Xenopus tropicalis: one gene and its partners. The protein of the gene in region 1 interacts with the protein of each later gene in a pairwise test. Links are inferred from orthologs where the notes say so. Each region holds a gene or a part of one and is shown in the gene's direction. Other genes may lie near its edges.

Region 1 (4,123 bases):
AAGTATGCAATTTAAGTCACTTGGGGGTGCCTAACATTTTGGCACCCCCAAGTGACTTAACCTTTCCTTCTCCTTTAAGTAGCTCTTATTTGGCAGCCCCAGGAATATTTTTCATGCTTGTGTTGCTCCCCAACACTTTTTTAAAAAGGTCGGGGGATCCCTGCTCTATAGCATCTCACAGCAGCCCTTCTGTCAGCTGAGGTTCAACTCCACATTATCCCTTGGTCCATCCTGGCTGCTCAGTGAAGGACCCTTTGATTTTTTCTATGCCCTTCATAAAAGGCATCTGCCTCTTACCAGCTTTTACTGGGTGGCTGGAGGAGGGCTGGGGGCTCAGTTGTTTAACACAGGGTTACCAGATCACATGAAATTTCAGGGACACCTATACATGTTACATTTAATTGCAATCACTGCAGCCCTGGATTTTATTGACACGTTCCATAATTTTGAAGTTAAATGGTAACTTCTTATCTAGACACCTAATATGCACCGCATTGATCCAAACAGTCACAGGTGTCATTTTTGATTCCCTGGAACACTCTAATCTGGCGTTTCATGTGACAGCGGAAGACGTGGTGCTTTACAGCCCATCGCAGAAAGACAAACTTTAGCTTTGTTAAAACGTATTTGTTGACAAAATGTATTTGTCAAGCAGTAGTTTTCAGCTTCCATTTTACTTTTTGAAGCACTCCAGCATTTACAAAATTATATTTTGCTCATAAATATAAACGATTCTGCTGATTTGCTAGTGAACTGCATTATTGCGCGAATTGTCTCCTATTGTGTTTGTTGTGACCAATAGGTGGCGCTGCTTCCCTTGCTCCTATGAAGCTCTGCCAGGAGTGAGCGATAATAATGCCCGTAGCTCGGCTCGTCCTGGAGTGTGAGGAAGGCTGTGGGAGGGGGAGTGGAATGAGGCACACCTCTCCGTGATGTCACAGCAGCCAAACATGCCAGATTCTTTTCGTGAGGGACTCACACAGACCGGCTCGTTCTGTCAAAAGTTTTGCAACTCCTGGGAAGTGAGTGTGGAAATAGGGATAAGCAGTTCCTGTCACTGGCACTTCGTTTACTCCCTGCTGTTTCTCCATACACCAGATAAGAGAAGACACTGGACTGTCTCATGTGAGAGAGCCCCACAATAAGCTCGGAGTCCAACGCTCTCAGCTTCCTTCTATTCCCTCCGCTCCCCCGTGGGTATATATCGTGTTCACAATGGATGTGAGGCGTTCTGTGGATTTGGGTCACTGAAACAAGACCGGTGTCAGAGGCAGCAGATAAAGCACAGGACTGCAGGAAGGATCCATCCTCATTTCTGTTCTTGGGGGTAGCTGAAGACTCGGGATGGGGTCTTTTAGCCGGAGTGTGGGATTATATATCTGCGTCTTCTTCGTCAGTCAGTCCTGCTTTTCTCTGGAAGAAAAGAAAGGTAAGGAAAGAAATTCACTTGCCACTTCATTGCTTCTGTGCCTGTAGGGAAGCCAGCCCTGGCACACAAAGGGTTATCAGACTTTCTGCGTTTCTGATAGTGGCAGTGTTGGTTTGGCTAGTGAATTGCCTCTCTCTACATCCACTTATTGATTTCCTGTGACCTACAGAGTGTAGCCAGGAGTATAGGGTGAGCCTACCTGGCTGGATACAGGTAATCCTCCTCTGGTCTGAATATGGGACAAGGGGACTCCCTGTGCCTCCTATGGGAACTATAAGGATACAGGAAATACACAAGAAAGTAAATCCCTTTCCTTCAGTGGGCTGTGACAGCAATATTACAAAATTATCCTGAGAAATTGGTCTTGTGTTTTGAAAAGACATGCTTTTGTGATGGCAGAGACTGTCCTGGAGTGTGAGCTGTGTACATTTGTAGTCACCCTGTGTATAAACTTGTGACTATGTCCTTGTAGAATGGTTACAGAAACACCTCTATAAAAGAGATACTTAGTGGGTGGATGTAATAAAAATCATCCTATGGTATAATTGCATAAATAAGAACAAAAATGTGTGCTCAGCAATGCATTATTTGACTATTATTGCAATATTATGCATTAGACAAATATTGCATTGTGACTTTTAATTACACATAACACATTTGTAAGACCTGCTGCAAGGTGGCATATTTTTTGTGCAAATTTTTTTTTGTTTAATTAAGAAGCTTTATAACCTATACTGTGCACTAATGCAAACAATAAACTGCACAGTATTTTTGTACTGTTATATGGGTTGCTAAATAGTTTAGCTGGTTTGCAAACCCTATATTAAATATGTTCAAAGGATAAAAAGCTTGCATAGTGAATAATTTTTCTGACTTAAGTTACTTTGCCCTCATTGGAACTCATCTTCAGCTTCAAAACCCACACACAGGGCATAAGGCAAGAGCAAGGAACTTAAAAAAACTACAAACAGTTATTTACATAACTTACAACAGTTTTATTTGCATTTGATGGATTGATTGATGCAGCAGATAAACAAGTGTTTAAATATGTATATATCTACAGTATATATAGAGAGGCAGGCTTACTGGTGAGTGAATGTATGTATAGTTATAAAACGCCAGCATCTGGACTTAATATAAAATATCTGTGACATTTCATGGGAGCCTATGCTACTGTCCAACAATGATTTTTTTTTTGTTTTTTTTAATGAAATTGATCTTGCCTCTGTTTTCAGTTATGTGTTGTAGCTTATATAACATTAAGAACAAAACCCATTTTTTTTTTATAAATAAGTAGGTGGGTGAAATTCTTCTCTGACTTCTGAGCAATTTGTTTTACCACGCTCTTTCAGACCACAGATGGTTAACATATACTGTCATGTGTGTAGTTAATAGGATCCGCTAAATAACTACTAAGGCTAAGATGCTGGCTCCCCACCCTTTTTAGAAAAGAATTTATCAGGAGCTTGCTATACAAGCACAGATTTGTATTTGTTCTAGTACATTGCACTTTGTACTGTAAAAATAACAATACTTTAACAGTTCTGTCATGTGGGCATGCTGAAGTCTTGACTTGGGGCAATAGAATTCAGTCTGTTCCAGGTGTGCAGTTCGACTGAATAAATGTGACAATGTAAACGGGGTTTCGTACGATATTATCAGTGAGTGTATGGCCAGCTTTAGACTAAACTTGTCCCCCCACCATAATTTTTATTTCCTTCTGCCACAGTGGTTGCAAATTCTGTTGGTGCCACAAACATTCCACTATGGAATGTATAAATAAATAAATACATGTCAAATCTCAATGAAACCTTTATTTAATGTTTGTGTTTTGCATATTTTATACTTATTTCAGCCGCTTTACATAATATTTTGTCTTATATAAATTGGTACAAATGTCATTGCTGCTGATATCACACTGATATTTACCTGGAGCCAAAGGATTTTTTGTACTTGTGTGTATGATATATTTATGACATTCCTTCAGTAAGACCTCTGCCTGGTATCTGTGCACCTGACTCCCTGTTTTTGCTTTATGTGTTTGGCCAAAGATGGATTAAACAGCTTCCTTCTACTGCCTAACAAAAAAAAACATTACGTCAGTCCATCTGTTTAATTACAGTGCAATATTGGCAGCCCAAAACTGCATATCAATCTTCATATGTTAGATAACATCAGGATGGCTGATATACAGAAGTGCTGGCTGGCACAATAGGAGAGTTCTCTACTACGCATAGAGAGTTGGGTAGAACTTTCAGAACTTCATGGAAGAATTGCTATGCCTTTGAACACTGTATGACTGTGGGTATTTGTGAGCCCGAAGAACTGTGCCACATTTAATCATTTTATAAGATAAAACTAAAACCAAGCTCCCTGCAATAACTTGATCATACACTTTTAAATCTTCATGCCTGGACAGAGCATAGGTGATGATTTAGTATCATGGTTGTTCATTTCTTCTAATGGTTCTAATGTAATTAAACTTTTGATTGTGTAATATCACTTACGAGTTTTACAGCAGGGAAAAACAATTGGACCAACACTTCCTGATCTCTATGGAATTCTGTCTAATCTGAAAACCTACCTTGTCTAGCAGGGGAAGGCAACAGTCATCAAGCAAGCTGACCTCTTTACTGAAACCATAGTAAATGTACAAGGCTGGAGTTCAGTTTCCATGTTTGAATCAAGTTGCTG
Region 2 (4,255 bases), on another chromosome or scaffold:
ATGTGCCCCCTTGTCTAACTGGACCAATCCCCCACTTCAGTTCAATTTACAGGTCAGCCACCCACTGCTTGCTCCCGCTCTTCCAGTCACTATTTATTGGGCTGGTGGGGGCTGTTTGGGCCTCTGTGTACTTGGAATGCCAGCAGGGGTGGACTGAGCCAACCGGCCACCCAAGGCAACCCGGGTGGCCACCTAGTCCCTGCACTATTGCATTGCACCCCCCGTGTGTTTTGGCGGGGGGGTGCGATGTGAAAGTTCATTGCCCCCACCGCGGCAGGGGTAATGAAAATGGAGCACTAACTAGGGGTAGGCAAGAGAGGCTCCTGCCTGGCGCCCTTCAATCGTTGCCCCCTAGGCAGCTGCCTCTTCTGCCTACCCCTAGTTCTGGCCCTGAATGCCAGTCCAGCCTGTGCCCCCCAACTGTGATTGAGTCACATGCCCCTGCTGCCTAGCCCTAGTTCCAGCCTTATGCTTCCTCGTACATCAGGATTTAAGGCAGAGTAGAGCAGCAGGGTTGGCAGCTGCCATATATATGACTTCCTCTGCCTATTGGGGTACATAGGTGTTTTTGGGTCAGGAGGGAGGACTCTGCAGGGAAATGAAAGAGAAAACCATAAAAATTGCTTTATTATCACTGGAATAACAAAATGCTGCAATTGGTCAGCAACTGGCACAGTGCCTGGTCATTAGGAACAGTTCCCAACTATGGATCACTTATACATACATATAATATACATAGATCCAATATGAATTTCAGAGTTACGTGCGCACACATTAAACACATACAAGAGCAATGATTAACCTGTAAAAATATTCATATACAGATATGGCACCTAGTGATGTCATTGTTTATAATCAGCACTTAGTGATGTCATTCACAGCACCACCCACTGATACTTATATAGAATAATGTGGCCCCTGGTAAAATCCCATTATAGTAGAATATAGCTCAGGGTTCCTGACATGCATATATACAGGTGTATATGAAACCTAATGCTTTAGCAGCTGGATTCATCGCTCTAGAACACTAACAGATTTGGTTTTCTAATTGAGACGCGTGTGGCAGTTCTATGGCAGTAATTTCTCCATTGAAAGAAGCATGCTGCGGAGCGTGTAAGCAGGCTGTGTGCTACTCGTGTAGCCGCTACCCCCCACACGCTATAACTAACACACACACAGAGAACAGGTTTCCACACATTTTTCTAGTGCTGGAACACTGACACCAGGTGAGAGATCCACCCCCTCACTCACCCACACTGGGACTGCTCCCCATCTCTGCCTACTTCTGTAGCGTTACACCCAGCCCCGGCGCCGCTCCACCAATCAGAGAATGGTTTAGCCACCACATGGGCGTGGCTTGCGTCATTCACCGCCATGAGGTGCGCCGCATGAGCACGGTTCCCCAATGAAAACAGAGAAAAGCGGCAAACAGCCAATCAAAGGAGGGGATGTTGCCGAAGGTCGCCATCAGGAGAGTATTGGCACATTTTACCGCTTACATTTTTTTCTAATCCAATGCAGTCATGCCATGCTTCATTTCCGGTTTAGGACTCCTGCCCCACTTCCGACAATACTGTCAAACAGCGTGAGCCTCATTTCCTGGGGTTGGACCATCTACGGAAAGCGAACCCGGAAGCGATACAAAAACACTTTGGTAAGTGTCTTGACAGAACCTGGACTTCAGTTTCATTTTGTTCAAGGAATGGGTGGAGGAAGCCGACCCTGAGACAGTGAGTGGAGACTCTAAGCGTTACTGCACAGTAGGTAATTAAAAGTGGTTTTATACTAATAGAATGGGTGTCGGATCCAGCACCCATAGCAGAACATCACAAGCAGCTAACCCATACATGCATTCAACGTTTTCACTGATTTTACAGCTATTTGTAAATGCACTCGGTAGCTGTATGTATCCCTTCCTGTGTATAGTCATTGCTCATGCAGGTTTCAGTTGTCAGAACCAGCAGTGTAGAGAATAGCAATAGGGTATGTCGGACAGTCAGCTGATTGTGCTCTATTTTAATGAAAAGACCTCTAAAAAACCAATTGTACCTGATGATGTGAAGTGTAGGGGGAATCAGGGAGATTTGGAATGGAGGAGAGCTTAGACAGCAAGCTGTCAGTAGCAGCATTTGTATACACCATAGGTCACATTCACTTACCTAAACGCAGGGCATAAAGTGGAATTTACCCACAGTGCACTGTTTTTTTCCAGAATTACGGGGTCATTGCAATCACAAATTGATGATTCTCTTGACACAATTGCAACTCATCTACTACAGTTGCGTTAGGTTTGCCAAAAATAGACCCAACTGCGTGTGTGTGGCGCAGATGCAGTGCATATTTTCTAAAAGTGCCTGGCGAGATCGCCAAGTGAGCGGATCTTCTCCCGATATCCCCCACCTACGGGTGGGCAATATCGGGTGAATTCAGGCTAATTCAGTCGGGGACCGCATCAACAAGCCGATGCGGTCCCCGATCTGACTAAAATTTTTAACCTGCCTGATTGATATCTACCGATTTCAGGCCAGATGTCGGTCGGGCAGGCCTGTCGTTTGTGCCCCTACTTGGGCCGATAAGCTGCCGAATCAGTCTAAGGGACCGATATCGGCAGCTACAATCGGCCACCTTAAGCCTGCCTGTCATGTGGACACTGGTGGTCAGGTTATGTTAGTCGGCTTGCATAGGCAGTGTTGTGAATGGCTGGATTTACAGGGGTGCAACATCTGCCCCTTTTGCCCACTTGCACATTGGCAATGGAGATACCAGCTGCATTATATTGGGGTCAGAGGATAGTCTGGCAGACTGCAATTGCAATACAAAGCAGTCCAAATAATTTTATGGTAAACTATATAAAGGGGCATATATACATGCACACAGCAACAAGGGAATTATGGGCAGTGCTGTGCCCTAGGGTGCAGGTGGCACTGTCGGCAAGGAGTTTCTCTGTTTTCTGCACTGCTTTCCTCCCTCATTCAAAAACATACAGGCAGGTTTATTGGCTTCTGATAGAATTGACTCTAATGTGTGTGAATAAGATAGGGACCTTAGATTGTAAGCTCACTGGGGCAGGGACTGATGGGAATGTGATAGGGACCTTAGATTGCAAGCTCACTGGGCAATGACTGATGGGAACTTGAGATTGTAAGCTCACTGGGCAATGACTGATGGGAACTTGAGATTGTAAGCTTATTGGGGCAGGGACTGATGGGAATATGATAGGGACATTAGATTGTAAACTCACTGTGCAGGGACTGATGAGAATGTGATAGGGACCTTAGATTGCAAGCTCACTGGGCAGGGGCTGATTGGAATATGAAATGGACCTTAGATTGTAAACTCCACTGGGGCAGGAACTAATGGAAATGATGTATAATCTCTTTAAGTGCTCCAGAATATGCAGACACTATAAAAAGTAAGAAAGGTAATAATTAAATGTTGGTGTTAATTGTCCTTTAATCCCATATTGTAATTATGTAATTTTGCTCTGATCCCAAACAGCAGACACTGATCACCTGGGCTGCATTCCTCTTTGCTTCCTTCTTATCGCTGTCTCTCCAATAACATTCACAACTACTTCCTTATTCCTTCTGATAACATGGGAGAGATATAATTGGCCAATATACTATGTGATGTCATCAGGACTTTCCCTTTTTCTCTGGTATTCAGAACTGGTCATTGGTTTCTATTAAACCGTTTCCTATTTACTTTTGCTTTATGGTTGGATGTCTATATCTGTTTATAATGTTTTATGTTTTTATGTTCTTTTTTTCTATTAGTAGAGGTAACTATGGTTTACAGTCTGGTTTTACCAAATAACTAGCCTTTGGGGTGGGGTAAACATTTTTACTGGCCCTATGGATTTTCCCATGTGTCATGGGGAATTTCCACCCCTGTATATTCAGTGTAGTCTCTGAAACTCAGGTTCCCTAAATGCCTTTGTAGGCTATAAATGAAAAGCTACTTTTAAAGAGGTTGTTCACCTTTATGTGGATTTTTAGTATGTTATAGAATGTCCCATTCCTAGCAACTTTGCAGTTGGTCTCCATTATTTATTTCTCTTAATGTTTGAATTATTTGCCCTCCTTCTGCCTCTTTACAGCTTTTAAATGGGGGTCACTGACTGTGGCAGCCAAAAACAATTGCTCTGTGAGGCTACAATTTTATTGTTATTTTTTTACTTTTTATTCCTTATCTTTCTACTCAGACTCCTCTTATTCCAGTCTTTTATTCAAACCACTGCCAGGTTTCTAGGGTA
Region 3 (3,500 bases), on another chromosome or scaffold:
CGGGGACCTCTGACAGGCCTCCCTGGCGACCAAAGATCAGCCAGATGTCGATCAGGCAGGCTTTATTTCTCTGTTGGATTAAGGCCCCATTGGCTTATTGATGCCCTCCTCACTTCGGTATTTTATATCCCTTTGGACTAAGTGATCGTATTAGCACAATATCACCCACACCAGGTGGGCTAATCGTACAGTGTATGGCCACCTTTATACTTCACAGCCAGGCCAGTATTAATTTTGTACATAAAGTCTAGGATAAACCCAGCCTGCGTGATGCCGTCATTGTCATGTGGCCTTTGCTTGTGTTTTAATGGTGACATTCAAATGTTATTCTACTTTATCTGTTGCGATTGAACTTTTTTTCAAATATTCTTTGAGAGTTTCCTTCTCCATTAAAACAATACAGCAGTCCTCTCCTCATTCTGGTAGCAGCTGGCCTCTGCTATATTGCAGTTAAATTATGTGATAGTTACATAATTCATGTTGGTTGAAAAAACACAAAGGTCCATCAAAATCATCCCTTCCAAAAAAACCCCAGTGTGCGCGCACACACACAAAACACTGATGCAGAACTTTATATATACAGGTATGGGACCTATTATCCAGAATGCTCGGGACCTTTGGTTTTTTGAATAAGCAGTCTTTACATAATTTGGATCACCATACCTTAAGTCTGCTAAAAAATAATTTAAATGTTAATTAAACCTGATAATTATTTTGCCTCCAATAAGGATTAATTAGATGTGGTATTTTTTTTTTTTTTTATTATTTAGCTTTATGTTTAAAATAATTAAAATCATAAAAAACTAAGACCAACTGAGCAATGCCAGGAGGAGATATTCTATAACAAATTAAAATTTAACTTAAAGGTAAACTGGCAATTTAAATTTTCAGAGCTGTATGTTAATGCTTCACATTTCCATAACAGACTGTTATAATCAGATGCTGAGTACTGATTCTTGGGATGGGCTTAATTATTTTTAGAGGTGCAAATTCTGTATGCTACACATATACATACCAAGCCAAGTACTACTTTCCCTCCAGGCTCACTGGCTGTGTGGCTCCTACAGAGCCCACTGTATGTTTGGAGTGAAGTGATTCCCCTATGCTCAGAGGCTTACCGTGGCTAATGAAATAGTACAGACATCGCTGTAACTATAGAGGAAGCAGGCACCGGGCAGGGCCTGGACTGTGGGGTCTGCTTCCTCTATAGAAGTAAAGAAATCCCCCTCCCCAGCTGCTCTCCTACCTGCAGTCAGGGAGGGGGGCGCAGGAGGCACCGACAAGTGGGCAATCAAGAGACTGGGTAGAGTTCGCGGTGCACCGGGCCCCTCCGACAATTGTTATGTACGGGGCCCAGCACACACTAGATAGCCCACTATAGATAGACTGTACAGGTATAGGAAAAGCATTACCAGGCACCCTGACATCCAAGAGTATCTAGGTATCTAGCAATATTCCCCAGTTCTCACACTGACAAATCTTTGCCCCCCCCCCCACTACTATTCACAACCAAGGGACCATCCCCAAAGATTTGAGTACTATTGTCTTGTGTCCTATAATATATCTGTTATGCTACACTGTTGGCCAATATGTTTATGTGCTCTCATGAAGTATGTTTGAAGCATGTTTGAAGTGGTATGTAGGATACCAACCCATAGGCAGAGAATAATCTAATTTTTCTCCCTTCAATGTAGACGAACAGGAAGCTCTGAAGTCCATTATGAAGGACCTTGTTGCCCTCCAGATGGGTAGAAGGCACAGAATACCAGGAATTGAGGCAGTAAAGACAAAGTGCAGCATACAGCCCAATAAACAGGTGGGTACCATTATGGTAGTCTACAGCATGAGGTCTTCATACTTGCACTAGAAACCTTTAGCCTGCAGGCTAAAATAAGCTAATTATTCTGGTTGTTGGGCTTACTGCCCCCAGCTACAATAATTGTATTGAACGTGAGAGTTAAGCTTTATTGTATGATTCTTAATTTTTTATTGATTATCTTTCTTTTCAGGCGGTATTCTTTTATTCTCACTTACAAACTATTGTCTAGTTGCTGGGGCATATAAATTGCTGTCTGGTTGCTAGGGCTGAATTACCATAGCAAGTTAATTTGCAGGCCTAAAAGCTGCAGAATGTAAGACAGTAGTTTTCATACAACAACACAACATTGCTTGTGTCAGTGTTGCCCCTTCCAGCCTTGTTAATATTTATTGTTGTTTTAAATATTACAGACGGATGTCAGAATAAAGTTTGAGCACAGTGGGGAGAGAAGGTAAGCCAAAATCTGTTTTATTCATGTGCACTTATGCAAATATTTGAAGTGTTTCAGTCCCAGCAGATTTGAAGGAGAACAAAACCCCCCAGAGTTCTTCTGAACTGCACTACTGGTTACCCATTAAACAGCCTGTTTTCTGTAGCTGGTTCTAAAACGTTAAAGTAATATTGTCATGAACAAACATCAGTTAATAGAGCTTCTCCAGCAGAATCCTGCATTGAAATCTGTTTTTTAAAAAGCGCAAACAGATTTTTTTATATTTAATTTTGAAATTTCACATGGGGCTAGCCACTCCCTTACTTTCCCATGTCCCCTTAGCCATATGACTTGTACACTTATAAACTTCAGTCACACTTTACCGCTGTGCTGCAAGTTGGAGTGATATCACCCCCCTCCCTTTCTTCCCCAGCAGCCGGTCAGCAGAACAATGGGAAGGGAGCAAGATAGCAGCTACCTGACACCTGTATTGCTAAAAAGGGGTAGATATCAGAATAGCACTCAGCAGTAAATAATATTAGACCAGCTTGGGACTCCTCCAGTTACATAGGAGTAGCAGAAACAGTTCTAATGTGTAGAACTGGCTACACACCAATATTGCATCTTGAAAATTTGTTGGTTCAAGAATAAAATGTAAATGGTAGAGTACATTATAAACAGTGTAATTAAGAAATACAAAGTACACCATGTGGGGGAGGGCTCTGGAGGTACCAAGCTATAAAGAAGGGTTGAGTTCTCCTTTCAGAAGAAATGCTAGCTATGCTTTGGATGTCTAACAGGGTAATGGCAGTCATCTTTGCAATCACAGTTGCTTTTAACATCACTTGGATGTGTAGTGGTTTGAATAGTTAAACTGGGCATCTGTTTTCTGTCCTGGTATATGGTTTCTTGGTTACTAATAATAAAAGTTCCTATATGTTGCTTCTTACTGAACATTGGGAAAACGACTGGGTGATTGCCCCTTTTATAAATTTGTGTGTTGGATTAAGAGGAGTGTTACATGCTATTCCAAAATTAGTTGAATTCTGTTATTTTGCTCTATTTTTTTTTTTGTTTTGATGTTAAATAATGTTAGCCTTGTATTACAGTAAAATGTATTTAATAGTTATAACTATTTGAGTTTTGCCTCCTATTCCATTATTAAAATGGGAAAGCATTTATTATTAATAATAATTGTGTTCAGTCTGTTCATCAAATTGTTAGGGTATGTGGAACCTTAAAAATAACATA
Region 4 (4,215 bases), about 3.4 Mb from region 1:
GTATTTTGTAATTTTGTTTTCCCTACAGCACTTGTGTGCTCTCCTGTATGTATGTTGCTTTCCCTCTCGCTCTCTTTCTTGGCTTCTCTCAATTCCCTCTCTCTCTTCTTGCCCGGAGTCTTGTGCACTCAAAGTTCCCTCCTACTTGCTCGCTCCCGATTTAGTAGCAGGGCTGAGAGGGAGGGTTTAAAGGCCCTGGGGTTGGGAGCAGGGGGAGGTGGTGCTATTGCATCCTGAGCAGAAAAGTCAGCTGAGTGTATAGGCAGTGCATGAGCGCAAGAGGAGAGAAAGCCCGCAGGAGAGACCTATAGGAATCCGTGGAGAATAGGAAGATCTTTTGAACACAGAGGATACAAATCTGGGTGCAATTTTTCCGAGCCAGGCTTTTTTACGCATCCACCATCAAGTTTATTTTTCCCATATTATGCGTTTTTTCTCATTGGAGTTTCTTTATGGGCAAGCCAAGGATTGTTGGAAGGAGCATGGTGTTTAGATCCGCATAGTGAAGTTGGGCACATAAAGAAAACTCCGTGGAAGTAGAGAAGGCAGAAAGAGTGGCCCATTGAGTATCAGCAGCCCATCATTTGCTACAAAGGGTCTCTTTGTAACCAAGGCCCATTGCACTCAGGACATCAAGCAGGTAATACTCACTTGGAACTGTGTGTATGCATGTGTCTGTGTGCAACTGCCTGTGGGATTGTTTGTTTTAGTCATGATCCCCTTTAGTTTTTCAGCTGAGTCAGACATGCTTCCACTTGGGGGGCAGCGAGGAAGTGCGCTGCAGGGGGATAAAGGGGTGGAGAGAAGACTTTCCCAAATCCAACCCTGTCCTTTGGCGCTGGGAAGGGGTTCCCTGTGTGTGTGCGTGCACAGTGCAGACTTGCAAACTAATAGGACGTTCTCCCCTCGCACTATCGCTGCGAGTACACTCCCCCCACCCCTCCTCTCATAGTTGTGCTCCTTGCTTTGAGTGGAGTGTGGGAGTTGGCGCAGAAAGCGCTGCAGCTGAGGTGAACAAACCGCTTGTTGAATTGACGGGACTGTTTGGTGGGGATGCGGGAGGAATGTTTTATTTCACTCTAACACCCCGGGCAGCTTGATTGAAATGGGATTTCTGTTAACTAATTGAGTGTAACTGGGATTAGAGCGATGCCCTTCCCTCTCCTGGTGCCCAAGGGGCCTACAGCGCATTGCTGTGCGTATGAGCGCTGCCCTACCGCTGCCAGTGACAGTGTTACGAGCACATGCTGTGTCAGTGCAGAAGTTTATCTGCCAAGTCATACTCCCTAAATGGCTCTTCCCACAGCTGCTAGCCACGTTCTCACTCCGGTGCCCTGGACTCTTGTCTATCTGGCGTGAGCTCTTGCTCAGCTTAATGCGATGTGTACGTGCTTGTAGTTGTGTGTGCCGCGATGGGAGCAACATGTGCCGCTGCTTGCCCAGTCAGGCACCAGGTAACTGTCTGCTGCACACTCGGCCTCTTTATAAAAGCCCATGCAATATGACACTTGGCTAGGAAGGAGGGGGACTCCCTTTTGCCTGTGTCGGTAGCCTGTAGAAATGAAGCGCACTTGTTTATACTACCCTTGTTTGCACTCCCACCCACAGCCCCCCTCTCTCTCTCGTTTTTTAATAGTTATTAAATCCTCCTCCTTCACAATAAATACGACCCACCTCTTTATTTCAGGAAGGGAGTGAAAGACTTTTTTTTCTGTAAAGAGGTGGGGAAGGCTGAGTGGGAGTCACCCACATCTGAGAGGTTTATTTTAGTCATTTTCAATGATTGTCCCGACTGCCAAGTATTTTCCAGCAGCGCCCCCCCCCTCTCCTCTCCTCCTCCTGAGTAAGGGGGTAGGGAGGACGAAAAGTAGGCAGGGCGCTGGCGGCAGGGAGCTGATACGATAATAAATAGAAGGAACACGCGTAAGGCGAGGCTCAAAACAAACGTGGCTTTGCTGCTGCGAGTAGCTGGGACACCGTAAGTTGAACTTAATGTTACGCGAAAGCTTTCAGACACTCAGTGAGGGCCAAGCACAGGGATTTGACAGGGAAGGCTCCTTTCCTTCCTCTATATACAAATGTGCGCCACACGCTTTGCTTAGTAAAAGTAGCACAGGGGCTTCAAAACATTTCTCTGTAGCTAAAGTCCAGCACTCGACTGAAGGTGCCAACTGTCTGTGATTTCCAGGAACAGTCCCCTGGAAATGTTCCTGGCGTTTCAAACCGGTCAGCTGCAAGAAAAGAATTTGAATAATCTTAGTAGCTGAAGCCAGTTCTCGGCGCTGCTCTCCCTCAGTAGCTTGTTGTTTGTGAAGACGCAATTTTATTGTTACAACTGGGGGCCCGTTGGTGGGATGGGGCCCTCAGGGATTTTTTTTTTAATGGCCTTTGGCATGCACAAAGGTTCCTTGGATTTTTTTTAACAGTCCTGGGAATACATACATGGTTTTCTTGATTACTGCCCTAGGGCATGAAAACAAAAGTTGGACAGCAGTATGGAGTTGATTTTGCACATTAGGCTACTTTTGCCAGTTTTTGTGTCGTGAGGCCACTGGCAGTGCATCCCTGAAACATTTTTATATGTTAATAGCTTTTCCGACAGCTTTTCAATAATCAGACTAACATTCCCTGCCTGGGGTTACTGATTCTTACAGTACAAATGATAAACTTTAAATTGCACAGTCCCATACAGGAATGGGACCTGTTATCCAGAATGCTTGGTAACTTGAATTGTCTGGAAACCCATTATCTAGAATGTTCAGATTACAGGAATGCCATATTCTATAGACTCCATTTTAAGCAAATAATTATAAATATTAAAGGAGTAGGAAAGGCTACATCACTGGGAGGTTCCAAAATGTTAGACACCCCCCAGTGACTTGAATCGCTTACCTGAAACACCCAGCCAGTGCTCCTGTTAGGAGAAAACTGCACCGGCTAGGGTGTATGCATGCAAGCGTTCTTTCAATCTTCACGCATGTGCAGTAGAGTGAAAAACTGACTTTAACAAAAAAGCCAGCTTTTTCACTTAACTGCGCATGCGTCGGCCCCGGGATTCTGAAGCTAGAAGGAAGAGGAACGCTCACTCGCATATACAATGAGCTGATGCAGTTTTCTCTTAAAAGGAGCACCCGCCAGGGGTTTCAGGTAAGAGATTACAATCACTGGGGAGTGCCTAACATTTGGCACCCCCCAGTGATTTAGCCTTTCCTTTTCCTCTGTTTGTAATAAAACAGTACCATGTACTTGATTCCATCTAAGCTGTATAAATCCATACCGGTGCAAAACAGTCCTATTGGGTTTATTTAATGGTTAAACGTAGGGTGATTCAAATTACAGAGAGACCCCATATCTAGAAAACCCCAGGTCCCATGCATTCTGGATAATGGATCCTATACCTGTACATATATCCCAAAAGTTGACATTTGCAAGCTCTGTTACAGAGGAAACAAGGGCTCATTTAGGAAAGTTAGCTAGGTACAAAGTGCAAATGTCCTATATATATATATATATATATATATATATAATATATATATATATATATATATATATATATATATATATATATATATATATATATATATATATATATAATTTTTTTTTTTGGATTGTTTTGCATCTCTGTATAATGCCCAAGTATGAATGGTGTATAGGCATAATAGTTGTGTTGGGTGTCCACATCTGTGTCATTACTGAGTAGCACCGTGTTTGTCATGCATGGGGAGGTGGGTCTCTGAATTTTGCCTGCACAAGGTGGGTCTGAAGTACAGGACTCTGTGCCAGAAGTTTAATTGCATTTTGACTATATAAGTGCCATATAAAGTGCCACATTATTTTTTCGCAAACTGAGGCCTAGGGCATTGTGTTTTGCAGGTTCTTAGTGTTTTGCAGGTTCTTAGTGTCATTTTAAACAAATTAATCACAAATTATGTTAGGATCATGTATAACAGCAGATGTGTTTTTATTATTATTATATTATTATTATTAACATTTATTTATAAAGCGCCAACATATTCCGCAGCGCTGTACAATAAGTTTTTCTTTTACAAACTATATAACTATCATCTGTCCGAAGAAGTGTCTTTTATTCATTTTTTTTTTTTTATTTAAAGGAGAAGCAAATACTTATTGTAGAGCGCTGCGGAATATGTTAAACACCCCCCCAGTGACTTTAATTGGTTACCTTTTACCCCAGGCTGGTGCTCCTGTTAGGAT
Region 5 (3,500 bases), on another chromosome or scaffold:
GTTTTTTTTCTGGGTCACTATCTAATAATTCACTCTATCATTTAAAATGTTATTCTTGAACCAGCAGATGTATTTTTAGTTGTAATATTGGTGTGTAGGGGCCATCTCAGCGCATTGTGCCTGAGTCTGAGCTTTCAAAAGAACTTAGAACTGCTTTCAGGTAACCTATTGTTTCCTATTGAGTCCCAAGCTGGACTTGGATTTCTTACTATTGAGTGCTATTCTGATACCTACTGGGAGCTGCTATCTTGCTCCCTTCCCATTGTTCTGGTGTTCGGCTGCTGGGAGGGGGGCGATATCACTCCAACTTGCAGCGCAGCAATAAAGTGTGACTGAGGTTTATCAGAGATACTTGAATTCCATGGTTATGATTTTGGATGCCCCTTCTTTTACAGGTAACATCTACTGGACAGATCAGGGATTTGATGTCATTGAGGTGGCTCGTCTGAATGGCTCTTTCCGTTACGTGGTGATCTCACAAGGGTTAGACAAGCCACGTGCCATAACGGTCCATCCAGAGAAAGGGTAAGAGTTATACAGAAATACCTGCTGTCCCTTGTGTCTTAGGCTCTGTGTTATATTCTAGCAATAATTAAAATATCTGTTGTTTTTTATTATATTGTAATAGATATGTTTTTTTTTTTTGCTTTGTTTTTTTTTTTTAAAGATACCTGTTTTGGACAGAATGGGGTCAGCACCCTCGCATTGAAAGATCTCGCTTGGATGGTAGTGAAAGGTCTATCCTTGTGCAAACTAGCATCAGTTGGCCCAATGGAGTCTCCATAGATTATGAGGTATGAAAACACTCATTATATATAACAGTACGGGTCTTACCCCAATCAGCCCCAAATTGTTTTTGTCCATATATAACTCCTTACAATCTATCTTTGACACTGTAATGGTAATGTAATATGATGATTTATCATAGGTTTGTTTCCCAAACCGAAAGAGCAAGGTAGAGATCATGCTATTTGGCTTCATGGCTGGTTAGTCTGACCTTATAGCAGTCTTGGAAACCAAGAAGTCTGTTCTTTTAATAATCATTTACACATGCCTCTGCCACTGGAGTCTTCATTTATATTAGTTTCTGATCATAAAGCAACTTGTTTTGTGGTAAAGACACAGGCAAATATGATCCAGTTTAGTTAGCCTTGTATTATGCTTTTCTGCAAACCAGTAGATCTCTTTCCTTATTCACAATATCCTATTTTGATGAGTTGTTTTAGTGAAATATAGAATGATAGAATCATAAAAGCTCATTAACAAAGAGCTAATCTCTGTACAGTAGTATTAAATAATTGTATGAGAAGTATTCAGTATCCGTTGCTCTCTGTACAGGAAGGCAAGCTGTACTGGTGTGATGCTCGCACTGATAAAATTGAGAGGATTGACTTGGAGACTGGAAAGAACAGAGAGGTGGTGCTGTCCAGCAACAACATGGATATGTTCTCAGTGTCTGTCTTTGAAGATTACATTTACTGGAGTGACAGGTGAGACTGCACATCTCTTGCTTCAAGGGATTTCAAATGCATCTCCTGAACATATGCCATTCACAACTCTTTAATTTACCCACTCTCTGCAACATCCCAAGGCGCTCTTGTTTCTAATATACTCTGTTGCAATGGAACAATTTGTAAATTTTCTATTTACAAATTTAACTGCAGTTATGAAATTTGTTATATTTAAATTATTTTTAGTAGACTTAAAATATGGTGATACGATGTTTTTTATTTTTATCATTCTTTACATAGCAAATCCTAGGCAAAATACTCGTTATTTCACTTATTGCATTCCTTGTGTGTGTCTCGCTTACAGAACACATGCCAATGGATCCATTAAACGAGGGAACAAGGACAATGCTACAGACTCTGTGTCTCTAAGAACTGGTATTGGGGTCCAACTGAAAGACATCAAGGTGTTCAACAAAGACCGCCAGAAGGGTATGTAGAATATATATAATGTGTAATATATGTAATGTACATATTTGTTCCCCTTTAATGAATAATTGATTGCAAAGAGCAATGTGTATTAGATGAACATGTGCATATTCACTGGTTTAAATAGGTAACAGGAGAAATGGGGAATACAAATGTGCAGCAGTATATACTTTATCCTGAATGCATTCCATTACGCACAGCTCATTTCTTCTGCTCTTGAGAGCATTTTAACATGATTATTTTGGCCACAAGCCATACCATACCAGATTATATCAGACTAGTCCTTATGAGCTTATACAGTATATATTTGGAAAACTTGAATTGCCCAAAGAAATGCATAGAGCTGTATTAACATAGTAACATAGTAAGTTAGGTTAAAAAAAGACACTGGTCTATCAAGTTCGACCTTATCTAATGTATCAGCTAGTACACCTGATTCAGGGAGGGAATTCCACAACTTCACAGCTCTCACAGTAAAAAATCCTTTCTGGACCATTCTGTGTGGAATGTAGTTGTGGGCAAGCACCAATGCACTATTGGCCCTGGGTCTTCTTCCATGATGTGTTTTAATTATAAACATGCATGGTAAATAACCCCATATGATATATGACAACTTAGTTTTTGCATCAGTTCAATATTATTTATAGCAGCTATTCACTATTTGGTTTTTACTTGACCACTCAAGTAAAAAGTTTGGTGTAGAAGCCCAGAATGTATCCCTTGTACTATATAACCTTCATAGATCTACAAACTGAAGCATTTAGACCTTACAGGGCCTCTCTTGCAGAACAGTTTCTGAGTTTATTATTTTAAAGAGGGTCATTTATTAAGCCACCCTCCTTCGCTTACATAAATACCTTATCCTATTTTTACTAGCATTTGCCTAGTACATATTTATATATAGAAGACTAAGATTAACCCCACCAACTGTAATTATATTTTAACCTCTTTCCTGTAATAATTGTTCCCATTTTATTGCTTGTGGGATCTCCACTGCTGAATCTTCTTGCTTGCCTGATCACTTTGGAAACTTGATCCTTAGTGAATTATAGTGACATTCGTAAAATCAGTCAAGCTAACAGATGATTATAAGCACTGTAGCTTTAGACCAGTAGCGCATGGCTCCGATTCAAGATGCAGGTTTTTCAGGTGAGCATTTTCAGGCTGCATCAGCTAGTGCTGGTACTTTCTGATGATTCTCTATGTGAGACAGCATGGGGTGATTGTGGTTGTTGTTCTGCACTCTGCCAAAGGCCTTACAGGGAACACATGTTTGTGTTGCTCAGTTTGCTTTTCTATTTAACAGGAACCAATATCTGTGCTGTGAACAATGGTGGCTGCCAACAGTTATGCTTATACCGGGGCAATAACAATCGTACTTGTGCCTGTGCTCATGGGATGCTTGCTGAAAATGGATTAAACTGCCGGAACTATGATGGCTACCTATTATACTCTGAGCGAACCATCTTAAAAAGTATCCATCTCTCTGATGAGAGTAGTCTCAATGCGCCTGTGAAACCTTTTGAGGACCATGAGCACATGAAGAATGTCATTGCGCTAGCA
Region 6 (4,022 bases), on another chromosome or scaffold:
ATAGCAGTTGTACCGGCGGATACATTGTATAACTTCACAGAAAGTCAGAGCCCACCCAGCAGCTACAGACTCCCCTGTTACACCCCTGTGAATACCCCTCTATTCAGGGGCAAGGAGGCGACAGATTGCCCTTTCTCTGCATCGCCTGCCAGCTAGGGAGCTTTAGCTGAATGGATGCAGGTCTTTCTTCAGCCTCAGCTACTACATAACTGTCCTGGCCGTCACTGCATTAATCCCTCTCTAAGGATTGTGCTTAGTGACTCTCAGCATCAGTGGAGATCAGAGCGGAACTGGGGGGGGGGGAGGAAGATTTAGGTGGGTAAAAGACAATACTATGTATATATATATATATTTATATGATACACAGTGTGTGCCAGTTGCTACTACTTCTCCCTATGGGGGTAATGATGGAGGGACCCCCCCAGGATGCATCTGCCCTTGTTATCATTCTAAGAAATGGCATCTCTAAGGACATTTACATTCCAAGCATGGTGCTGCCATGGAGACTAAATATTCTGATATATATATATAGAGATGAATGAGGTGCATATTTGCTCAGACTGTAAATTCTCTTGCCCCTCCCACAGGGGATCCTTGTTGCCCATTTTCTGCCCTCTGCATTATGTATGACACATGGGCTATATTTAATTCCCACCTCCCCTTATAATAAACCCAGGTGCCCCCAGCCCCCCTTCCCCATGCAGATCAGTACCTTCTGAATAGTTTGCTGGGTGATCTCTCCCTTGCCTCTGGGTCTGGCTGATGCAAAGGCCACAGACATGATGGCCCCTGTGCTCCTCAGTGGATAAATTATTACAGAATATTCTTATTATCAGCTGCCTATTACTAGGCAAAGGTTTGTCATTCTCTGCAGCAGACTGGGGGGGGAGTGCTTGTCAATGGAATAACCCATTTACACATCGTTTGCTTGTCACTTTAAAGAATACGTTTATTGCTACACAGCTACATCTATCATGTTTCATAAAATCGATTCGATGATGGAACAGTTTGACACAATTGAGAAATGAGCGCTTTGATGAGGTTCCCACCCCCCCACTAGAATGGTTGGATCCACTAGCCGGGTTTCCTGTCTCATGAGCCGGGTAAGGCAGAATCCCGGGGGAGGAGTTAAGCTTACGCAGTTTGCGTAGCGTAGACAGTGTGGTTAGCAGGGGAGGCGGCTCCTGCGCAGAACGGAAGTGAGGTTAGTGAATAGGAGAGGGATGAGTGCGCTGTTTTGAGCAGGTTTCGGTTTGTGAGCGGATTGTCCTCGGAGCCAACATGAGTTACGATCGGGCGATCACTGTCTTCTCCCCGGATGGGCACCTCTTCCAGGTGGAATATGCGCAGGAGGCCGTCAAGAAAGGATCCACAGCCGTGAGTACTGAGGGAGGTGGCCCCATGGCCGGACAGGGAGAGGGAATGGAGGAGGCCATTCAGGGGCCATTCAGGGGCCCAGTGCGATGGAAGCAAGTAGCCCCCCCCCCCAGGCAGGGGGAGACAGGGAAAGAGTGGGACCCCCCCCCCCGGGTTACATGGAATAGTAGCAAACCCACTGGGGAGAGGGAACGGGAGAGACCAGGCAGGCAGGGGGGGTACCAGTGTGTGGAAGGCCCCCATAGATAGGGGGAGAGATGATAGAATGGAAGGCCCCCATAGATAGGGGGAGAGATGATAGAATGGAAGGCCCCCATACATAGGGGGAGAGATGATAGAATGGAAGGCCCCCATACATAGGGGGAGAGATGATAGAATGGAAGGCCCCCATACATAGGGGGAGAGATGATAGAATGGAAGGCCCCCATAGATAGGGGGAGAGATGATAGAATGGAAGGCCCCCATAGATAGGGGGAGATCTGATAGAATGGAAGGCCCCCATAGATAGGGGGAGAGATGATAGAATGGAAGGCCCCCATACATAGGGGGAGAGATGATAGAATGGAAGGCCCCCATACATAGGGGGAGAGATGATAGAATGGAAGGCCCCCATAGATAGGGGGAGAGATGATAGAATGGAAGGCCCCCATACATAGGGGGAGAGATGATAGAATGGAAGGCCCCCATACATAGGGGGAGAGATGATAGAATGGAAGGCCCCCATAGATAGGGGGAGAGATGATAGAATGGAAGGCCCCCATAGATAGGGGGAGATCTGATAGAATGGAAGGCCCCCATAGATAGGGGGAGAGATGATAGAATGGAAGGCCCCCATACATAGGGGGAGAGATGATAGAATGGAAGGCCCCCATAGATAGGGGGAGAGATGATAGAATGGAAGGCCCCCATAGATAGGGGGAGATCTGATAGAATGGAAGGCCCCCATAGATAGGGGGAGAGATGATAGAATGGAAGGCCCCCATACATAGGGGGAGAGATGATAGAATGGAAGGCCCCCATACATAGGGGGAGAGATGATAGAATGGAAGGCCCCCATACATAGGGGGAGAGATGATAGAATGGAAGGCCCCCATACATAGGGGGAGAGATGATAGAATGGAAGGCCCCCATACATAGGGGGAGATCTGATAGAATGGAAGGCCCCCATACATAGGGGGAGAGATGATAGAATGGAAGGCCCCCATACATAGGGGGAGAGATGATAGAATGGAAGGCCCCCATACATAGGGGGAGAGATGATAGAATGGAAGGCCCCCATAGATAGGGGGAGAGATGATAGAATGGAAGGCCCCCATAGATAGGGGGAGATCTGATAGAATGGAAGGCCCCCATAGATAGGGGGAGATCTGATAGAATGGAAGGCCCCCATAGATAGGGGGAGATCTGATAGAATGGAAGGCCCCCATAGATAGGGGGAGATCTGATAGAATGGAAGGCCCCCATACATAGGGGGAGAGATGATAGAATGGAAGGCCCCCATACATAGGGGGAGAGATGATAGAATGGAAGGCCCCCATAGATAGGGGGAGAGCTGATAGAATGGAAGGCCCCCATAGATAGGGGGAGAGATGATAGAATGGAAGGCCCCCATAGATAGGGGGAGAGCTGATAGAATGGAAGGCCCCCATAGATAGGGGGAGAGATGATAGAATGGAAGGCCCCCATAGATAGGGGGAGAGCTTCCACATAGGGAAGGGGGGAGATATCATAGAGTAGAAGAGACCCCCCCCCCCCCTCAGATAAGGGGGGGAGATGTCATAGTGTGGAAGATCACTTTTACATAGGGGGAGAGATGATAGAATGAAAGAGACCCCCCAGATATGGAGGGGGGGAGATGATTGAGTGGAAGAGACCCCTCATATAGGTGGGGAGATATGATAGAAGAGGCCCCTCTATACTTCCTACTGCTCCAGTGGGAGAGACCCCTACCTGAGTTTGAGAGGAGAAATGGAGAGTGCAATTGGGATTCCTCCCCCAGACTCAAGGTTGGAACCTGAAAAAAGGGACCCTAGGGGGAAGGTTTGAAACTAGGACCCAGTGGGAACAAAAATTGAAGGAGACCCCCCCCCCCCCCCATAATGGGGAGAATAGGGAAGCAATTCCCAGAGGGAGGGATGGAGAAGGGGGGCCCCTTGGGGGGTGGGAGCATATACATAATGATGGCTCAGTTGCCCCTTTCTGTCCCCGTCAGGTTGGCGTTCGTGGCAAGGAGATTGTGGTTCTGGGAGTGGAAAAGAAATCGGTAGCGAAGCTCCAGGATGAGAGGACGGTGCGCAAAATCTGCGCCTTGGATGAAAACGTCTTTATGGCCTTTGCTGGTACTGAAAGCATCTGGGCAACCGCTTGTTTTATAGGAAGTTGCTTAAAGGACAAGTAAAGCCAAAGTGTTAATAGTCATTATTTATCCCGAGCAGCCCCCCCCTCTCTCGCTTGGCTGCTACTGGGTCGTGCCGCCATCTTGGCTGCCATGTACTGCCGGCTGTCCCGAACTGCTCCCATAGGCATTAGGGGCTTCTAATTGTCATTGGGGCCCCCTAATGCATAAATGCCCCCATAGATAAGGTGATTGTCTTTGATTCTTGTAATAGGAATAAAGTTATTTTGATTTGTAGGTCTCACAGCTG
Region 7 (3,277 bases), on another chromosome or scaffold:
TCCAGTAGTGATTGCGCCAAGAGATGGCAATTCCATATACGGTTTATAATATCCATTGAGTTTTACATATGGGTCAGTGGGTACTACTTAACCTATTGGATTACATAAGCCTGGGAAAATTGGAATCAGAATTTGCCAAAACCCTAACCTGGGGCCATAGCAGCCTCCTTGCAGTACTCTCTTTTTAATATACCCAGTCATTCCTCCCATTGGATCATCACTATAGCTGTACATGTGGCTGTGGGATGCCCAGTCTATAAGGTGGAGGCTACCTTTTCTGCCTAGTAGATAAGATTGTTTCTCTTACATATATTTATATTTATAAGTAGCTTGCTGAACCTGTTGGCAGTGATATCCAAAATCTAATGGCTTTTGTACTGTTAAAGTGCTTTGAGCTCTTTATATAAAGTAGGATACGGTCTAGATTTGCTTTGCTGGTCCCATCATGAGCAGGGCGCATCCAGTGCTATCCAGTTGTTGCTCATCCTAACCTGTGCCATACTTATTGCTCTAAGAATTACAAATGAAAATGTTTCCATAAAATGTAAAAAAGTTAAAATACCTTTCTGACCAAACTCATGGTTTGTGCTCACGTTACAAACCCAGTAGCAGACAGATCTGTGCCAAGCCACTGTTCTCTATTTGAAACTTGAAATGTTTTAATACCGATGCTTGTTGAACTCATATTCACTCCCATGTTATTCTTTCAGAGTGTCTTAGGGAAAATGAATGAAATCGCTAAGCACAAAGCGGCCATTGAGGATGCAGACACTGAAAGCAAGGTAAAAGGATTTGTATTGGAATTCCAACTTCTCCGCAGGTAACTAGTTTATACTTTTGGCTGTATCACTGAAAACTATTCTGTTGCAATTCTCTGCTTGTAAATACAGAATAATACATTCAAATGTATTGGATGATGTCTCTGGTTGCCTGGAAGTGATTCTTCAGTGGCTGTTCAGCCACTGAACCGATTAGCTGGAGAGCGCACCAACGTGATGCCCATTAGTTTTATGTCGACAGCCATATTTTAAAACAATTTGCATTTAGTCTTATTTTTTTCAAGTTGAGAAAAACCTTTTTAATGGGAAAAAATGTAAAAAAATAAAAAAGGGGGGGAAATGTGAAGGCATGGTATTCCTGTAAAGAAGGTTCATTTGTGTTTTCCCCCTGTTGTATTCAGCTTCTCGACCACTCCAAATCCAAGGCAGTCATTCCGTATACCTCTTGTAACATGCAGCTTCTGTTCTCTGCCCCAGGTGCACCAGCTCTATGAGACCGTGCAGAAGTGGGATTCCATGTCTAGCACCTTGCCGCAGGTTGTCCAGAGGCTGCTCATGTTAAAGCAGCTGCACGAGCAAGGTACTGCAAGGGGAAACTGTCTCCTTTGTGTGTGTATTCTGTTACAGGAGTTTAGTCCATATGTGCAAAGAACAACTTAATGGACTGTGTATCATATATAACAAACTAAATTGTGCGACTGCTCTATTGATCATTCATGTATGGCGTCTGCTTTATGTAACCCCCCCGAACTTTTTTATTTCAGCCATGCAGTTCGGACAGCTTCTCGCCCACTTGGACACTACACAGCAGATGATATCAAACTCTTTGAAGGACAATACCAATGCATTAGCTATGGTATGTTATTGCTTTTATCATCCTCTCCCCCCAAAATGTGTTTTTTTTTTTTTTTCTTTTTTTCTAAGCAGCACTATTTCTCTGACCTTGTAGGTTATTAACTGTAATCAGAGTGGCCCAGGTAGCAATGGCAGGTGTTTTGTTAGCCAGGCACCATAGCTGACAGAAATCTGGGAAACCGCTCTCCATTGATTTGAACGGGAATTGTAGAAACACCCATGGTTCTATGCAGTTCCCTTTCCAGTCGGCGGGGAGCAGTTGACAGACCAGTCTGTTCCATTTGTAAGAGTTTCTTAGCTTTAATGAATATAGCTGCACAAGTCTGCAACTGTGTCTGTAGTACAGTTCTGTGGGCAAATTTCAGGTCTGTGCTATGGAGGCTGCATTAGTGTGCTGTGTTGGGCCTGATCCAAAAGCAAATTACATGCACACTTAATATGGATATTGCTCTTTTGTAGGTCCAGAAGGCCATGAAGGAGAACCTGGCCACAGTGGAAGACAATTTTACCAGTATTGATGCGAGAATAAAGAAACTAAGTAAATGAGTTGCACTTCTTCACCACAAACCTCATTCCCTATAATACCAAGGAAACAAGAGTTTCTGCAGACTCTGCACTAAGAAATCAACTCCCTCCCCAACCAAGAGAGGTTTTACCATTGTACATATTATGTCTTGTTACTCTCTCTCCTCCCCCGTTTCTCCTGAGAATGCTTAGAGGCTTCTCCTGTACCTGCCCATGCACGGACACTCACTCCACCCTTAATATCAGGTGCTGTGTCAGATCTGATCTCTTAGGGAATATGGTGTATCTTTCAAGCTACCATGTTTGCATGCCCGGTACATGCGGTGCGCCACCTGCAGTGTCTGAGGAGAACATCCATAGACCTTTTATTTATGTATGTATATCGTTCTTGTCCTCTTTCTATTGTTACACAGCCACCATCAATGCATTACATATACTGCAACGTCCAGCAAAAAAAAGAGGCTAAATGCCACCTTAACAGCATTGATGTCATGAGACAATGCCTTACTCTAACTGCCACCTGATCATTACTGTTAGTAAATTCTGTTAGTTACTTCTTAACCTCCCTAGACTTTATAGCCTCTTACTGCTTCTTATATAAAACTTATCTTTCAAAAATATGAATGTGCTCTTCTGGTTTTTTTTGTCTTACTGGGTCTTGGTTACAAAGACATATTCACCTATTTTGTATTTCTTTTTAGTTTTCCAAATATATTACACTGTGGGGTTACAATTGAGATTAACTGCGGGGGCAGAAATGCCAGCAATGACCGTGTGCTTATACAGTGTCTATTCCAGAGTCTCTAGAAGCCACAAACTTTAGGTACCCTATACATTGGTTGTATTTATTTACTTGGGGAGAAATTCCTATTTAAAAAAAAAAAAATCTAGGGTTCATGTACATCCACAAGTGCAGTTGTGATGCCTACACTTTACCAGTCAGTTGTGCGTAGAACCTCGATCATTAAAGATATCAAAATGGGCCCCTTGCACTTCTCTATAGTTGCACTCAGTAACGAAGCCGGAGAAAGGTGCCGAGGCATGTTTTTGGGTTTTCGGGCTGTTAAGTATATATACCTTCTGATCTTAAAGGGACAGTAACACCAAAAAATGAAAAG

The links.
Region 2: the proteins of egfr (region 1) and ikbkg interact in a protein complementation assay, tested with the Homo sapiens proteins (3 studies listed by BioGRID and IntAct, with this or other methods). The link is inferred for Xenopus tropicalis from reciprocal best matches to the Homo sapiens genes EGFR and IKBKG.
Region 3: the proteins of egfr (region 1) and map3k3 interact in a protein complementation assay, tested with the Homo sapiens proteins (3 studies listed by BioGRID and IntAct, with this or other methods). The link is inferred for Xenopus tropicalis from reciprocal best matches to the Homo sapiens genes EGFR and MAP3K3.
Region 4: the proteins of egfr (region 1) and grb10 interact in binary tests that used the Homo sapiens proteins (3 or more experiments, as listed by UniProt). The link is inferred for Xenopus tropicalis from reciprocal best matches to the Homo sapiens genes EGFR and GRB10.
Region 5: the proteins of egfr (region 1) and lrp1 interact in a protein complementation assay, tested with the Homo sapiens proteins (3 studies listed by BioGRID and IntAct, with this or other methods). The link is inferred for Xenopus tropicalis from reciprocal best matches to the Homo sapiens genes EGFR and LRP1.
Region 6: the proteins of egfr (region 1) and psma7 interact in a protein complementation assay, tested with the Homo sapiens proteins (2 studies listed by BioGRID and IntAct). The link is inferred for Xenopus tropicalis from reciprocal best matches to the Homo sapiens genes EGFR and PSMA7.
Region 7: the proteins of egfr (region 1) and dctn2 interact in a protein complementation assay, tested with the Homo sapiens proteins (2 studies listed by BioGRID and IntAct). The link is inferred for Xenopus tropicalis from reciprocal best matches to the Homo sapiens genes EGFR and DCTN2.

The regions. Positions count from the first base shown.
Region 1 is NC_030682.2:56,743,853-56,747,975, forward strand, and holds the start of egfr (epidermal growth factor receptor), read left to right. Parts: upstream 1-1,323; 5' UTR 1,324-1,344; coding exon 1,345-1,429; intron 1,430-4,123. UniProt on the Homo sapiens protein: Receptor tyrosine kinase binding ligands of the EGF family and activating several signaling cascades to convert extracellular cues into appropriate cellular responses.
Region 2 is NC_030684.2:25,684,685-25,688,939, forward strand, and holds the start of ikbkg (NF-kappa-B essential modulator), read left to right. Parts: upstream 1-1,455; 5' UTR 1,456-1,654; exon of another isoform or gene 1,655-1,764; intron 1,765-4,255. Other genes in the region: g6pd (glucose-6-phosphate 1-dehydrogenase), read right to left, coding at 1,252-1,273. UniProt on the Homo sapiens protein: Regulatory subunit of the IKK core complex which phosphorylates inhibitors of NF-kappa-B thus leading to the dissociation of the inhibitor/NF-kappa-B complex and ultimately the degradation of the inhibitor.
Region 3 is NC_030686.2:17,076,905-17,080,404, reverse strand, and holds part of map3k3 (mitogen-activated protein kinase kinase kinase 3), read left to right. Parts: intron 1-1,694; coding exon 1,695-1,816; intron 1,817-2,229; coding exon 2,230-2,270; intron 2,271-3,500. UniProt on the Homo sapiens protein: Component of a protein kinase signal transduction cascade. Mediates activation of the NF-kappa-B, AP1 and DDIT3 transcriptional regulators.
Region 4 is NC_030682.2:60,192,994-60,197,208, reverse strand, and holds the start of grb10 (growth factor receptor-bound protein 10), read left to right. Parts: upstream 1-1,415; 5' UTR 1,416-1,454; intron 1,455-1,948; exon of another isoform or gene 1,949-1,978; intron 1,979-4,215.
Region 5 is NC_030678.2:139,526,887-139,530,386, forward strand, and holds part of lrp1 (prolow-density lipoprotein receptor-related protein 1), read left to right. Parts: intron 1-395; coding exon 396-525; intron 526-667; coding exon 668-794; intron 795-1,338; coding exon 1,339-1,490; intron 1,491-1,815; coding exon 1,816-1,940; intron 1,941-3,243; coding exon 3,244-3,500. UniProt on the Homo sapiens protein: Endocytic receptor involved in endocytosis and in phagocytosis of apoptotic cells. Required for early embryonic development. Involved in cellular lipid homeostasis.
Region 6 is NC_030686.2:4,411,868-4,415,889, reverse strand, and holds the start of psma7 (proteasome subunit alpha type-7), read left to right. Parts: upstream 1-1,222; 5' UTR 1,223-1,281; coding exon 1,282-1,377; intron 1,378-3,589; coding exon 3,590-3,716; intron 3,717-4,010; coding exon 4,011-4,022. Other genes in the region: ss18l1 (calcium-responsive transactivator), read right to left, coding at 713-781.
Region 7 is NC_030678.2:140,646,394-140,649,670, reverse strand, and holds the end of dctn2 (dynactin subunit 2), read left to right. Parts: intron 1-710; coding exon 711-782; intron 783-1,256; coding exon 1,257-1,359; intron 1,360-1,543; coding exon 1,544-1,635; intron 1,636-2,093; coding exon 2,094-2,180; 3' UTR 2,181-2,777; downstream 2,778-3,277. UniProt on the Homo sapiens protein: Part of the dynactin complex that activates the molecular motor dynein for ultra-processive transport along microtubules. In the dynactin soulder domain, binds the ACTR1A filament and acts as a molecular ruler to determine the length.